3 linked regions of the Notamacropus eugenii genome follow. The protein of the gene in region 1 purifies or fractionates together with the protein of each later gene. This does not show direct contact. Links are inferred from orthologs where the notes say so. Each region holds a gene or a part of one and is shown in the gene's direction. Other genes may lie near its edges. The genes, in order: TRIM47, SATB1 and PPM1A.

Region 1 (3,746 bases):
ATCATGCCTGACTTTTTGGGTAGTTCCCATTCACCTCTCCTTCTTGACCTAGGCATGAATAAATCCTTTTCCCCTTAGGTTCAGCTGACATAAGGATGGGATTTTTCAAAGGGGAATTTATAATAATTTTACTGAAAAGCCAAAAGGAAAAAAAAGTCCATAGAATTGGAGTTTGCAGCATCATTACCTGAAGTTTCACTGTAGTAATAAATGACCTCCACTGTATATATATATATACTGGATATTCAATTCCTAGTTCCTTTTCTTGGCATCAATGTCTGGGATGAATTGAATGAAGGTAAAAAGTGGATTTGGGGGCAATTCTTACAGTGGCAATGGATACCCCTCTTGGGATCACAAAAAAAAAAAAATGATCGACAGACTAAGTGAAGCACAGTAAAGGGGACAGTCAGGCAACAACTGTCCAAAGCCAAAGTTACCAGAAAGAGCAGGTGGGGCTGGGGCCCATAGGACCAAAAGACAAGTGCGGGAGAGCAATGCACAGTCACATGCACTGATCCTTCCCTTCCTGGGGTTTTCTCTCACCAAGGGCTGAGGTCATTTCCCTAATTAAGGTCTAAGGAGGCCACTAATTCCCCATAAGTATGAAACTAAAGGGGTAAAGCATAAACTAAGCAATTTTTTTTCTTTTTTTCTCAGTTCATAAGAAAGAAAGGAAGTATTTTATTTGGGGAAGTGGGGAGAGATGTAGGGAAGTCATCAAAATAAGAAATATTAAAGTGTAACAACAGAACCTAAGGAGAACAGGTAAAAGGAGTGGGAATATTGATTGGCAGGGTGGGAGCTACTAGCAAGGATTCATTCCTTACCTATACAGCAGATGGGAAAGAGAGGCAGGTCTAAACAAAGATTCCCCTCCCATGAGCTAAGGGGAAGAACAGAAAGGGGAAGGATGTAAGAAATGTTTGTCTTCACAGTCAGCGATTCAGGTATTTTAATAATAGACTAGAGGAAGTGCCATGATGGAGAAAAAAAATGCTAAACCAAGAGGGTCCTGGACGGGGTAATTTAAGAATATGGAGATACCCTTAGACATATCTGTTAGGACAAGCCCTCTCCACCTTCAATAATCCATAATCGTCCTTTCCTTGAGACCCATCCCATCAGATAAGGAGGGCTATTAGTCCTCCAAAGGGAATGCCAAGTCTGGTACTTCTTGGTTCTACCTGAAACACAGAGCTGAGAAGGTTCAGCTAGGGAAGGTAGGACACCCTTCTGAGGCTAGGCTCAGAGCGATGGGCTAGAGTTCGAAGGCGGGACTGGGGGAAAAGGAGGGGGAGGCCAGTCCGAGAGAGCTGTAGGGGCGGGAGGGGGCTGAACCCTTCGGTCGAAGCCCAACGGGGAGGAGCTGCTGAGCTACCGCGCTCTGCTCATTCCTGGGCTGGAGCAGTGCAGGCGGAGCCCTTGAGAAGAGATGGACGTGAGCGGTCCCTTCAGCTGTCCCATCTGCCTAGAGCCACTACGGGAGCCCGTGACACTGCCCTGCGGTCACAACTTCTGCCTCGCCTGCCTGGAAGCGCTCTGGCCGCACCGCGGGCCCGGGGGACCCGGGGGATCCGGTGTCACTGCCCGCTGTCCACTGTGCCAGGAGCCCTTCCCCGACGGGCTGCAGCTGCGCAAGAATCACACGCTCTGCGAACTGCTGCAACTGCGCCAGTCTGGCCCCAGCCAGACCCCAGCCCCGGCCCCGGCCCCAAATCAAACCCCGACCCCGGAGCCCTCGGCGCCCTGCGCCCCAGAGCCGTGGCCGGAAGGCGAGGAGCCAGTGCGCTGTGACGCGTGCCCTGAGGGTGCGGCCCTTCCTGCGGCTCGATCCTGCCTCTCGTGTCTGGCCTCTTTCTGTACTGCCCACCTGAAGCCCCACGAGCGCAGCCCAGCCTTGCGCGGCCACCGCCTGGTACCTCCCTTGCGCCGGCTCGAGGAAAGCCTGTGTGCCCGGCACCTGCGGCCCCTGGAGCGCTACTGTCGAACTGAGCGAGTTTGCGTGTGCGACGCCTGTGCGGCCCAAGAACATCAAGGCCATGAGCTACTTTCTCTGGAGCAAGAGCGGGCTCTCCAAGAGGTAGAGGTCTAGGAGGCTTAGCTCTGTGGGAGGGAGCAGGCTGAGAGCGCTGAGTGGGGAAAGTGAAGTTCTAGAGGGGAGATTGGCGATTTTTGGCCGGGTGGCACAGGAGAAGCTCCTAACGGAAGCTTGGCAGAACTCTAAGAACTAAATGGGGGGAGCAGGAGATCCAGGAGTAGGAGAGGGCTGAGCTGAACACCTGGATCCCCAGTATAACCTGGTGGGAAGACTGGCAGGGAGGGGGCTTTGGTCTTGCTTCCAGCTTTCTGCTCTCTCCATATCTCTGAGCCACCCCAGCTCCCACAGACTTGGAGCACTGTTAGAACAGCCCAGGCTCCCGATGCCCTTCCTGGCCCAGAACCTGGAGCCTGAGTTGATCAGACTTTCTCCTGCTCCTTAGGGTCAGCAGTCTTGGGGGAATGGGATGTGGCTAGCTGGCAATGCTAGCCACAGATCCTCCGAGTCGAGGTGTCCTTGGGGTTCTTGGCGGGAGCATGTGTACAACCCCGCCCATTCTCTTCTTCCCTCTCTGAGCGCCTCTCTCCAGTCTCCTCTCCTCCCACCCCCTCCAATCCCGACCGTTTCCTTTGGCTTCCGTCCCAGTCTTGGCGCCTCTGGCCTCGGGATTTTCCGTCTCCTCCCTGGAGCGCCCACCACCTCCAGCCTGGAGGGAGTGACTCATTCCCCCCAAGGGTTTTGCATAGAATTCCCTGTTTGTAGAACTGGTTGGGGATACCAACTTCGTATATGGTAAACTTACCCCTCAAGACAACTTGCCAGGTGCTGTCCCCGCCCGTCCTACCCCTCCTCCCTTCAAATAGAGTCTAAGCGAGACTGGGTCTCTTGCCTCATACTTGCCCCCTTACCTACCACGGATTGGTCAGCGGCCAACAGACGGAGGAGGGGAAACGGGCGGATGACAACTGCATGCTTTTTGCTGCTGCGCTGGGCTGATCTTGAATATCAGGGAATTAGCTGGGAAGCCCCTCAGAGGTCATTTAGTCCTCCGGGTAACTAAAATGTTTTTGCCTTGACAACTTTTCTTACCTAGTATGACTTCATAGGAAACAGAAATTCACCATCTTCCTCTAGTCTCACCAATCTAGGGCAGCCTTTTCCTCCTCTGGATAACTCTAATTATTAGAAAGTTGTTTGCATTTTTGAATAATAACCCTAAATCCACCTCCCATCTCTTAGTTTACATTTTGTACTTGAAAAACAAGTCTAATAATTCCTTGTGTTCACATGACATTCCTTCAAATAAAGGAAATATTTGATGACTCTCCAGTTTTCTCTTCTCCAGACTAAACATCCTCTATTTCTTCATCAGGTCCTCATACAGGACGGTTTTCACCCTCCTACTTATTCTCCTCTAGCTGTATAATTACCCCACCCCCAGCTATCTATAGACACCTTCACCCCTGGACCCTGGAAGACCAAGTCTGTGTTAGCTCAATGGGTTCAGAGAAGGATGCTCTCTCCCTCAGGCTGAGAGCCCCGAGGTCCTGAGTGCTGCAGATGACCGCTTGGATGAGCTGGGTGCTAGTATCGCACAGTCTAGACGTACAGTAGCTCTCATAAAGGTAAGATTCCTAAGTCCCTTGAGACATTTGAATTCTGGAGAGGAGGTGGGGCTTGGGATACCATTTCTCCTTAATTTGAC
Region 2 (3,746 bases), on another chromosome or scaffold:
CAGGGAACTAGGGCTGGGGGTCGGGGCGCTGGGAGGAGGATCAGACAGACACCGAGACGCTCCCTCACTTACCCCTCCACGCCTAGGGTGCAGGTTTCGCCTCAAACCTGCGGGCAGATCGCCCTCTGCCCCCCACGCCCTCTCTTTACCCTCTCCCTGCTCTCTCCTCATCTCCGGCTCCCCCCTCCCTGCTCGCCTGCCCCCTCCTCCTTTGACTCCCCTCCCCTCCCCTCCCCTCCGGCTCAGCCCGGGCTCGCAGCCTCCAGCAAACCTAGCCACGGAGGAGCGGAGCCGGGCGGTGGCGGCCGAGGCTCGGCCGGGCGGGCTGGAGGGCTCCGCACCGTAGACCCCGGGCGGGCGGCCGCAGAGTCTCCGCCAGGGGGAGAAGGAGGGAAGGGAGAGGAGGAGAGAGCGAAGGAGGGAGGGACCGAGACCTCGGCCCCGGGCGATCCAGACCCCGGCGCCCCAGACGCGCACCGAGCCGGCGGAGGTGGGGGCCGAGGCGGGGAGCAGTGGCGGCCAAGGCGCGGGCGGAGGAGGCAGAGGCAGCGGCGGCGGCGGCGGCCGCGCTGCCCGGCCCGCTCCCGCCTCCTCACCCCAGCCCGGGGGGCGGCCGGCATCCAAGGAGCCCTGGGACTGAATGCCCGGCGGCAGCCCCCAGGGCCGGCTCGCGGCGGGCTCTCCAGCTGGGGCTGCCCGCCGCTCCTCCGCGGACCCGGCCGGCTTGGAGCGCGGCCGGCGGCCGCAACTGCGGAGCGAAGCCGAGCCGAGAAGAGGCGAGCGGAGCGGAGCCGAGCGGAGCGGAGCCGAGCCCCGGTCCCCGCCTGCGCCCCCCGCCCCCGCCCCCGCCCCCTCCTCCTCTCCTGTCCCCCCCTCCGCTCCTTCCCCTCCCACTCAGGCCCTGCCTCCTCCCCTGCCCCCCCCGCACACATACACACACATACACACACACATACACACACACGCATACACACATTACCCTTGCTCTTCCCTCCCTCCCCCCCTCCTTTCTCCCTTGCTCGCTCGCTCGCTCGCTTCTTGTCTTTCTCTCCCCTTTGAACGCCCACTTCTGATGGGGGAAGAAGACAACTTGAAGTCAAGTTGCAATTAACTTCCGCGGCAGCCGCAGCCACGGGGGCAGCAGCAGCAGCGGCGGCAGCAGCAGCAGGAGCGGCAGCAGCAGCGGGAGCCGCCACCGCCTCCGCCGAGACACCCGGGAAGCCTCCGGGGCTGCTGCCCCGCACTCGTCCGCCCGCCCGCCGCCCGCCAGCCCTCCCGCAGCCGCCGCGGCCGCCGCAGCTCCCATGCCTGAGTGAGTTGGCTCTCGTTTGTTTACTCCTTCCCTGGGCCGTGTGCGGTGTATGTGTGTGAGGAGGTCTTTACAAACTTCTGCTTCGCAGCCCCCCAGGCGGGCGCCCCCCGTGCTCGGGCTGGCCCCTTGGGGCTTCCTCCCTCCCCTGCCCTCGGGCCGGGAGCGTTCTTCACCCCCCGCGCCTCCTGGTTCGGGCCCCGAGCCCCCCACCCCAGCATGGGCCGGAGGGCAGGTGAAGGAGGCCAGGAGGACTGATTGGGGAATGCCATTCATTCCCTCTCGGGGTGTGGGGATGGAGTGTGATAGTCAGTCCTCCCGACCACAGCAATCACACACACACACACACACACACACACACACACACACACACACATACACGCGCGCGCGCCCGAGCACACACACACACACACACACACACACACACACACACACACACACACACACACACACACACACACACACCTGCTTGGTACCCGAGGTAGACATAGGTATTTGAGGGGGGAAGGTCCCCTCGTGGAAGTGGAGAAGAGCCAGAGAGAAAGACTGGAGTGCGGGGTGGGGGGTGTCGGTAGAAATTCGAGGTGCCAGCTAGGCACTGCCCGGGAGCATCCCGGCCCAGCCCAGCCTGGCCCGGCCGGGAGAGCGGCGCCGGTGGATTGGCCTGAGAAGTTTGTGGCAACTTCTCCATCTCCCGAGCCCGAGCCGAAGCCGCCGCCTCCGCCGCCGCAGAGCCGCGAAGTTGCTCGCAAGTTGTTTCTAAGGAGTTGCGGCCGCACGGCAGTGGCCGTGACCGTGGCCGTGGCTGGGCTGGGCTGGGAAGGGATCACGGAAGGTAGGGAAGGAAGGTGTGCGTGAAGATAGAGGAGGGGATCCGAGGGACAGCACGCCTCGCTTCCTGGTCTTTTACCACCCGGTCGGGCCGCGGTCCTGACGGGTTCGGTAGTGTGGGCATCCGTGCCTTCTCCTTGCCCTCGGGACACCAGGACCACCTTAGGCACCGGCTTCCCCTCTAGCATGGCCTGAGACGTAGTGGCGGAGCATCTTGGACCCTCGGCACGACCTGATGTTGGGCAGCTAAATCTGAGGGTTTAGCAGAGGAGAGAGAGTGAGCTGCAGGGACAGTAGCAGGTCGGGGAGATTGGGGAGTGGGGACTGAGGTTTCTGGGCGCAGGAGCAGGGGGCAGGGGGGCGGGGAGAGGGTCAGACTGACCAGAGAAGGGGGAGGGCAAGGAAGAGCCTTCACCACTGAGCCACAGCTGCCTGTGGCCTGGACCCATCTTAACCTGGGCATTGAGAGTTAAACTTACAAGTATGAACCACAGAGTCGCATCACTAAATGCCGGAGGTTGAGACTTTGACCCTTGCGACCTTCCTCGGCTAACTTTCTGCAGCGTTCCAAAGGGGTTTCCAGGGAAATGATCTGTGACTGAGACTCCAAAATGATTATAAGAGAAGGGGGAGCAGAAGGGAGGGTTGGGAAGACCTTGTAAGAGTAGAGAGATGGTCTGCCCCAATTGCCCTGGGTTCCATATATACGTCTTTGGAGGCCAGCAGGGATGGGGAAGAAGAGAGGAGAGAGAGAGGAGTTGGTGAAATATGACCAAAGGTTTAAGTTTTATCCTCGGCAGCACCTGAAACCTAAAGTACTTCTGTTGCAGAGGAAGCTATCCCACTGAAAACTTTACTGAATTATTACGTTGCCCCTTTAAACTGAACTAAGTAAAAGATGGCCGAAGCAAATGTCAGATATATTCTCTCCAATCAAGGGCAATTCTTATTATGCAAAGGATGCGTAATTCTAAATTCTAGGATGTTAAGGTTCAAGTATAAGATCTAATAACAGCTCTTTCTTCTGTTCCATATTACCAGTGATATGATTTAGCTACAGTCCTTTCTTCTGTATATTATTTGAGTAGTACAGTAGTACATTCATATACTGTTTGCTTCAATCTGCTGGCAAGCATTAGCATTCAGGCTTACATTTTTGACAAATGTGCAGACAGGAATAACATGAATAGGCATCTTAAATATTAACAACCTAAGCATCTGTTATGAAACAAATTTAATATATTTACTCTGTTTTTCTCACATTGTTAGGAAAGGTTATAATAAGTGCATAATTTCAACTTTAGTTAGCAGAAGTAGCTGGTTGTATCTTTCACTACCTCTGCAAGGGTTTAACACAATCACTAGACATAAATACTTTAATTAACTTGGTTAGGCACATCATTAAATAAACTTTCAGTAATGTGCCCATCACATACAGACATAGCTGTGGTAAAATATGTATCTTATAGGCAAATGTTTTTTAATGCCTATACATTTTTGTAAATACAGAATGTACATTTATTCCTCATTTCAGTTTGACACTTATTACTTCACATTTTTTCTAATGGAAACAATATTTTAAGCACAGAGTTGTGCAGTCACATGT
Region 3 (3,746 bases), on another chromosome or scaffold:
TCTGCCTACCACCAGACTTCTGAAGGGCTATTTTGGGACCACATTCTACAGGGCTCAGAACAAAACGTGCACTTTCTCAACCACACCGAGATCAGGAGACGATGCTACTAGCCAGGATGTGTGCATGGGGCGTGGGGTGGTGGGGGAGGGCTGGGGGCGGAGTGTAAACCAAGGTGGAAGCTTCCATTCCCCCTTTCCTATACACACACAGAGACAGACACGCAGACTCACACACACACGAACTCTAGCCCCTAGCAGGCCGGCGACGGGGAGGAGGCAGCCAAGTAAAGATGGGGTAGAGGAATTATGTCATTCCTAACCTGCCCCTCCTCCACCTTACCCTGGCTGAAGTTCCAGCCCAACAACATCCGGGTCTTTCCAGCTGCTACAAGGCGCCGCAGCTGTGGAGGGGAGAGAGGAAGGGGAGGAGGGAAGAAGGAAGGGGGGGGGTAGGGAGAGGAGGAAGAGGGAGTGGGGCGTGAACGCGCGTGCGAGCGTGCGCGCTGGAGGAGGCGGAGGCGGCATCGACATTAGAAGCGGGAGCGCGCTTGGGAGCGAGACAACCGGGTCCCGGCGCTTCCTCGGCCCCGAGCTCGGGGACTCGGCGGCGGCTGGATCGCAGGACCGGGTGGCTGGGGCGGGGGTGGGGGGAGGGGGGGCGGAGAGACCGACACGGGGCCGGCGCGGCCCGCCAGCGATGAACTCGCCGTCAGCTCCCCTCCGGGACCCGCTCCGCGCCTCCGTCCCAGTGCCTGCGATGATCTGAGCGACGGCGAGGGCGCCACGAGCCGGGGGTCCCAGACACGTTCCACCTCCTCCCCCCTCCCCTTCCCTCCTCCCGGACGACCCGGCCCGGCCCGGCCCGCGACGTGCGGTGACCCCCCTCCCCTTTCCCCTTCCCCCCCTTCCCCTTGTCCCTCCCTAGCCGGGCCGCCGCCACCGCCTCGGACCGGGGACCCGCTTCTTCTTCTGCCGCTCTCGGTAAGCCCCGCGCCGGCGACGCAGGGCCCGAGAGGGGGAGGCCGCTCCGGGGGCTGCGCGGTGGAGACGGCGGCTCCTCCTGAAGGGGGGAGGGGGGGGAGGAGGAGGAGGAGGAGGCAGCGGCCTGGCCAGGCCCGGGGCCTGTAAACAAGCTGGGGCGGCTGCTCGGGCACTCCCGGGAACACCCAACAACCCCACCCCCTTACCCGGCCTCCCCCTCGGAGGAGACGAGCGGACCGAGGAGCTCGGGAGGCGCCCGCGGGGAGAAGCTCGCGGGTTAACGCTTCCTCCTGGGGCGGGCGGCGGGGGCTGGGCCGGGAGTGTTTGTGTCAGAGGAGGAGGAAGGGAAGGCGACCCTCCCCGGCCCCTCCCTCCCTCTCCCCCCCCTCCCCCTCTCGCTCCCTCCTCCCTGGCCTCTTCTCTCGGACCTCCCTGGTCTTTGGCCGGAAAACCTGGGCTTGTTAGGACCACTGGCTTTCTTAACTTCCCCCCCCCGCTAAAGGGAGAGGGAGTGGAAAGTACTGGGTTTTGAAATGGCTCTGATGTCCTAAACCCGCACCCCACCCCCAGCAACCTTGGGCTTGGTCCTCTTGTGCCCCGACTCATGGGGGTGGGGGGGATGGGGAGAGGTTTTGACTGCGATGATGATCAGAATCCAAATGTGGGAACAGTTCTTACACCGGGGGCAGGAAGTATGTATGGTTTTCCTCCAGGTGATTATTTGATTGGACCATATTTGCCTTGGAATTTGTTTTGGGGAGAATCCGTAGAGAACATTTAGGAGATGGAAAGGTGACTTCGGGGGGAAGTAGGTGAGTTAGGGGCTAGCTTTTAAATTTGAGTCTTTCTAGTGAGGTATCTAAATTTTGACGATCGTTTATTGCAAGGTAAACGGAAACCAAATCTATTAAAATAAATTGTATTGATTTTTCTCTTAGCCTTTAAACCGTGGGGGTGGGTAAAGAGAGCTTTATCAACTCAGAAATTTTTAAAGCTGAATGAAGGTTTAGAAATCATTTAGTCCAGCAGCCTTAATTAAGGAATTGAGGAAACTGATCTCGAGAATAGGTTCTTAAATGCTTGAGAAAAGTGTAACTCATCCAGCAATTTCTTACTTCGTACATAAGATCATGTGTTTCACTTTTTCAGGGAATGCATTCAAACACAAAACTGCATCCCTTCTATGATGAGGAATTAATTACAGAATCCTAATATCAAACTTTTTTTGTTTAGCTCATACATATGGAGCACATTTGTAAATCTTGTTAAGATTACCTCAGTTTATGCATTTCACCAATAGTCATAGAATTGTAGCACTTTTCAATAAAGGATTCTAAAGCATTAGAATCACATGATTAGCTATAATTTAACATTTTTCACTGTAATTTTGTGTATATAGTCTGAAGCTCAAAGAGGTTGAAAGTTGATAAGCCTAAACATATTTTGAGGGAGACAGAAGTTCTTTTGATTTGCCGTAATTGCTTTGTTGAAGGATTTTATATAAAGTATTTTCAGGATTATGCTCTCTATTGAATGTTATTTGAAGTACTTATCCTTCATACATACAACATATAAACTTTCAACATTGTGTTTCTTTGGTATTCTGAAACTGGTGTGTGACTTGTTCTCTGCAAAAGTATTTCTGTAGAGAACCTCTGCTGATTTTTTTTTCTTTGGGAAATCTAGGGATATTGCTATGAGAAACTCTTGGTAGGAGGATGGAGGTAACTAGAGAAAAATTAGCTGAAACTACAAGTCTGTACAAGCAGTTCACACTTGATAGTTGATATGAATGGCATTATAACCACATTTTAAAGGTTTTTCTGCCAGTTCTGGCTGGATCTTGCTTCTCTTGACTAGATTTGCATATTTACTAAATTTCCTGTAATTTATCATATACTTAAAATATGAAACAAGTCACAAAAATATATTCATTTGAAGCTTGAGCTCTTTGAATTGGTATTTTATTTTTCACCATGAAACTAGCCCCATCATTAAAAAAAATTCAGAGATATTGATCCATGAATAATCTGGCTCCAGACTACCATTTTAGTACACGTAGCTGAGTGATGGGTGGATGAGTGCTGGACCTGGAATCAAAAAGACCTGAGTTCATTTCTTTTAGACTGATCCCAGCTGTGTGACTCTGAGCATATCACTTAATTTCAGAATTCTTCAGTTTTTCATCTGTAAAATGGGGATAATAAATAGAACCTACTTCCTAGAGTTGTAAGAATAAAATGAGATGTTTGTAAAACCATTTGTAAGTGCCATACTTTGATACAGTTGATGTTGTTGTTGCTCTTAGTTGTTCAGTTGTATATGACTCTAGGCCCTATTTCCTTCTCCAGCTCATTTTACATTTGAAAAAAAATGAGACCAACAGGGTTATTGACTTGTCCAGGGTCACATTGCTAGTAAGTGTCTGAGGCCAGATTTGAACTCAGGAAGATAAGTCTTCTGGAATCCAGGCCTGGCACTCTGTCCACCTAGCTGCCCATTAATAGTAGAAATTTTATTATTATTTCCCTTTACCCATTCTGCAGCCCAGGGTTCATATCCTACTGACTATTTCTCACACAGCACCTTTTCTTCCATCTTTCCTTTGCACAGTGTGTCCTCTTGCCTGGAATACATCCTTCCCAATCCATCCCACCTATTTTTTCAACCCAGGTGGTCTCACTGCCTCCACTCCAAATTCTCTGGCATTTACTTTGTATGTGTTTTTTATTGCATCAGCTAAAAGCCATTTCTTAAGCTCTTAC

Evidence for each region.
Region 2: the proteins of TRIM47 (region 1) and SATB1 purify together in Homo sapiens (affinity purification with mass spectrometry; 4 studies listed by BioGRID and IntAct, with this or other methods). This does not show direct contact. The link is inferred for Notamacropus eugenii from reciprocal best matches to the Homo sapiens genes TRIM47 and SATB1.
Region 3: the proteins of TRIM47 (region 1) and PPM1A purify together in Homo sapiens (affinity purification with western blotting; 3 studies listed by BioGRID, with this or other methods). This does not show direct contact. The link is inferred for Notamacropus eugenii from reciprocal best matches to the Homo sapiens genes TRIM47 and PPM1A.

Annotation. Positions count from the first base shown.
Region 1 is NC_092873.1:342,072,532-342,076,277, reverse strand, and holds the start of TRIM47 (E3 ubiquitin-protein ligase TRIM47), read left to right. Parts: upstream 1-1,394; 5' UTR 1,395-1,435; coding exon 1,436-2,083; intron 2,084-3,570; coding exon 3,571-3,666; intron 3,667-3,746. UniProt on the Homo sapiens protein: E3 ubiquitin-protein ligase that mediates the ubiquitination and proteasomal degradation of CYLD.
Region 2 is NC_092874.1:35,639,103-35,642,848, forward strand, and holds the start of SATB1 (DNA-binding protein SATB1), read left to right. Parts: upstream 1-1,194; 5' UTR 1,195-1,312; intron 1,313-3,746. UniProt on the Homo sapiens protein: Crucial silencing factor contributing to the initiation of X inactivation mediated by Xist RNA that occurs during embryogenesis and in lymphoma.
Region 3 is NC_092872.1:303,349,506-303,353,251, forward strand, and holds the start of PPM1A (protein phosphatase 1A), read left to right. Parts: upstream 1-845; 5' UTR 846-981; intron 982-1,600; exon of another isoform or gene 1,601-1,673; intron 1,674-3,746. UniProt on the Homo sapiens protein: Enzyme with a broad specificity. Negatively regulates TGF-beta signaling through dephosphorylating SMAD2 and SMAD3, resulting in their dissociation from SMAD4, nuclear export of the SMADs and termination of the TGF-beta-mediated signaling.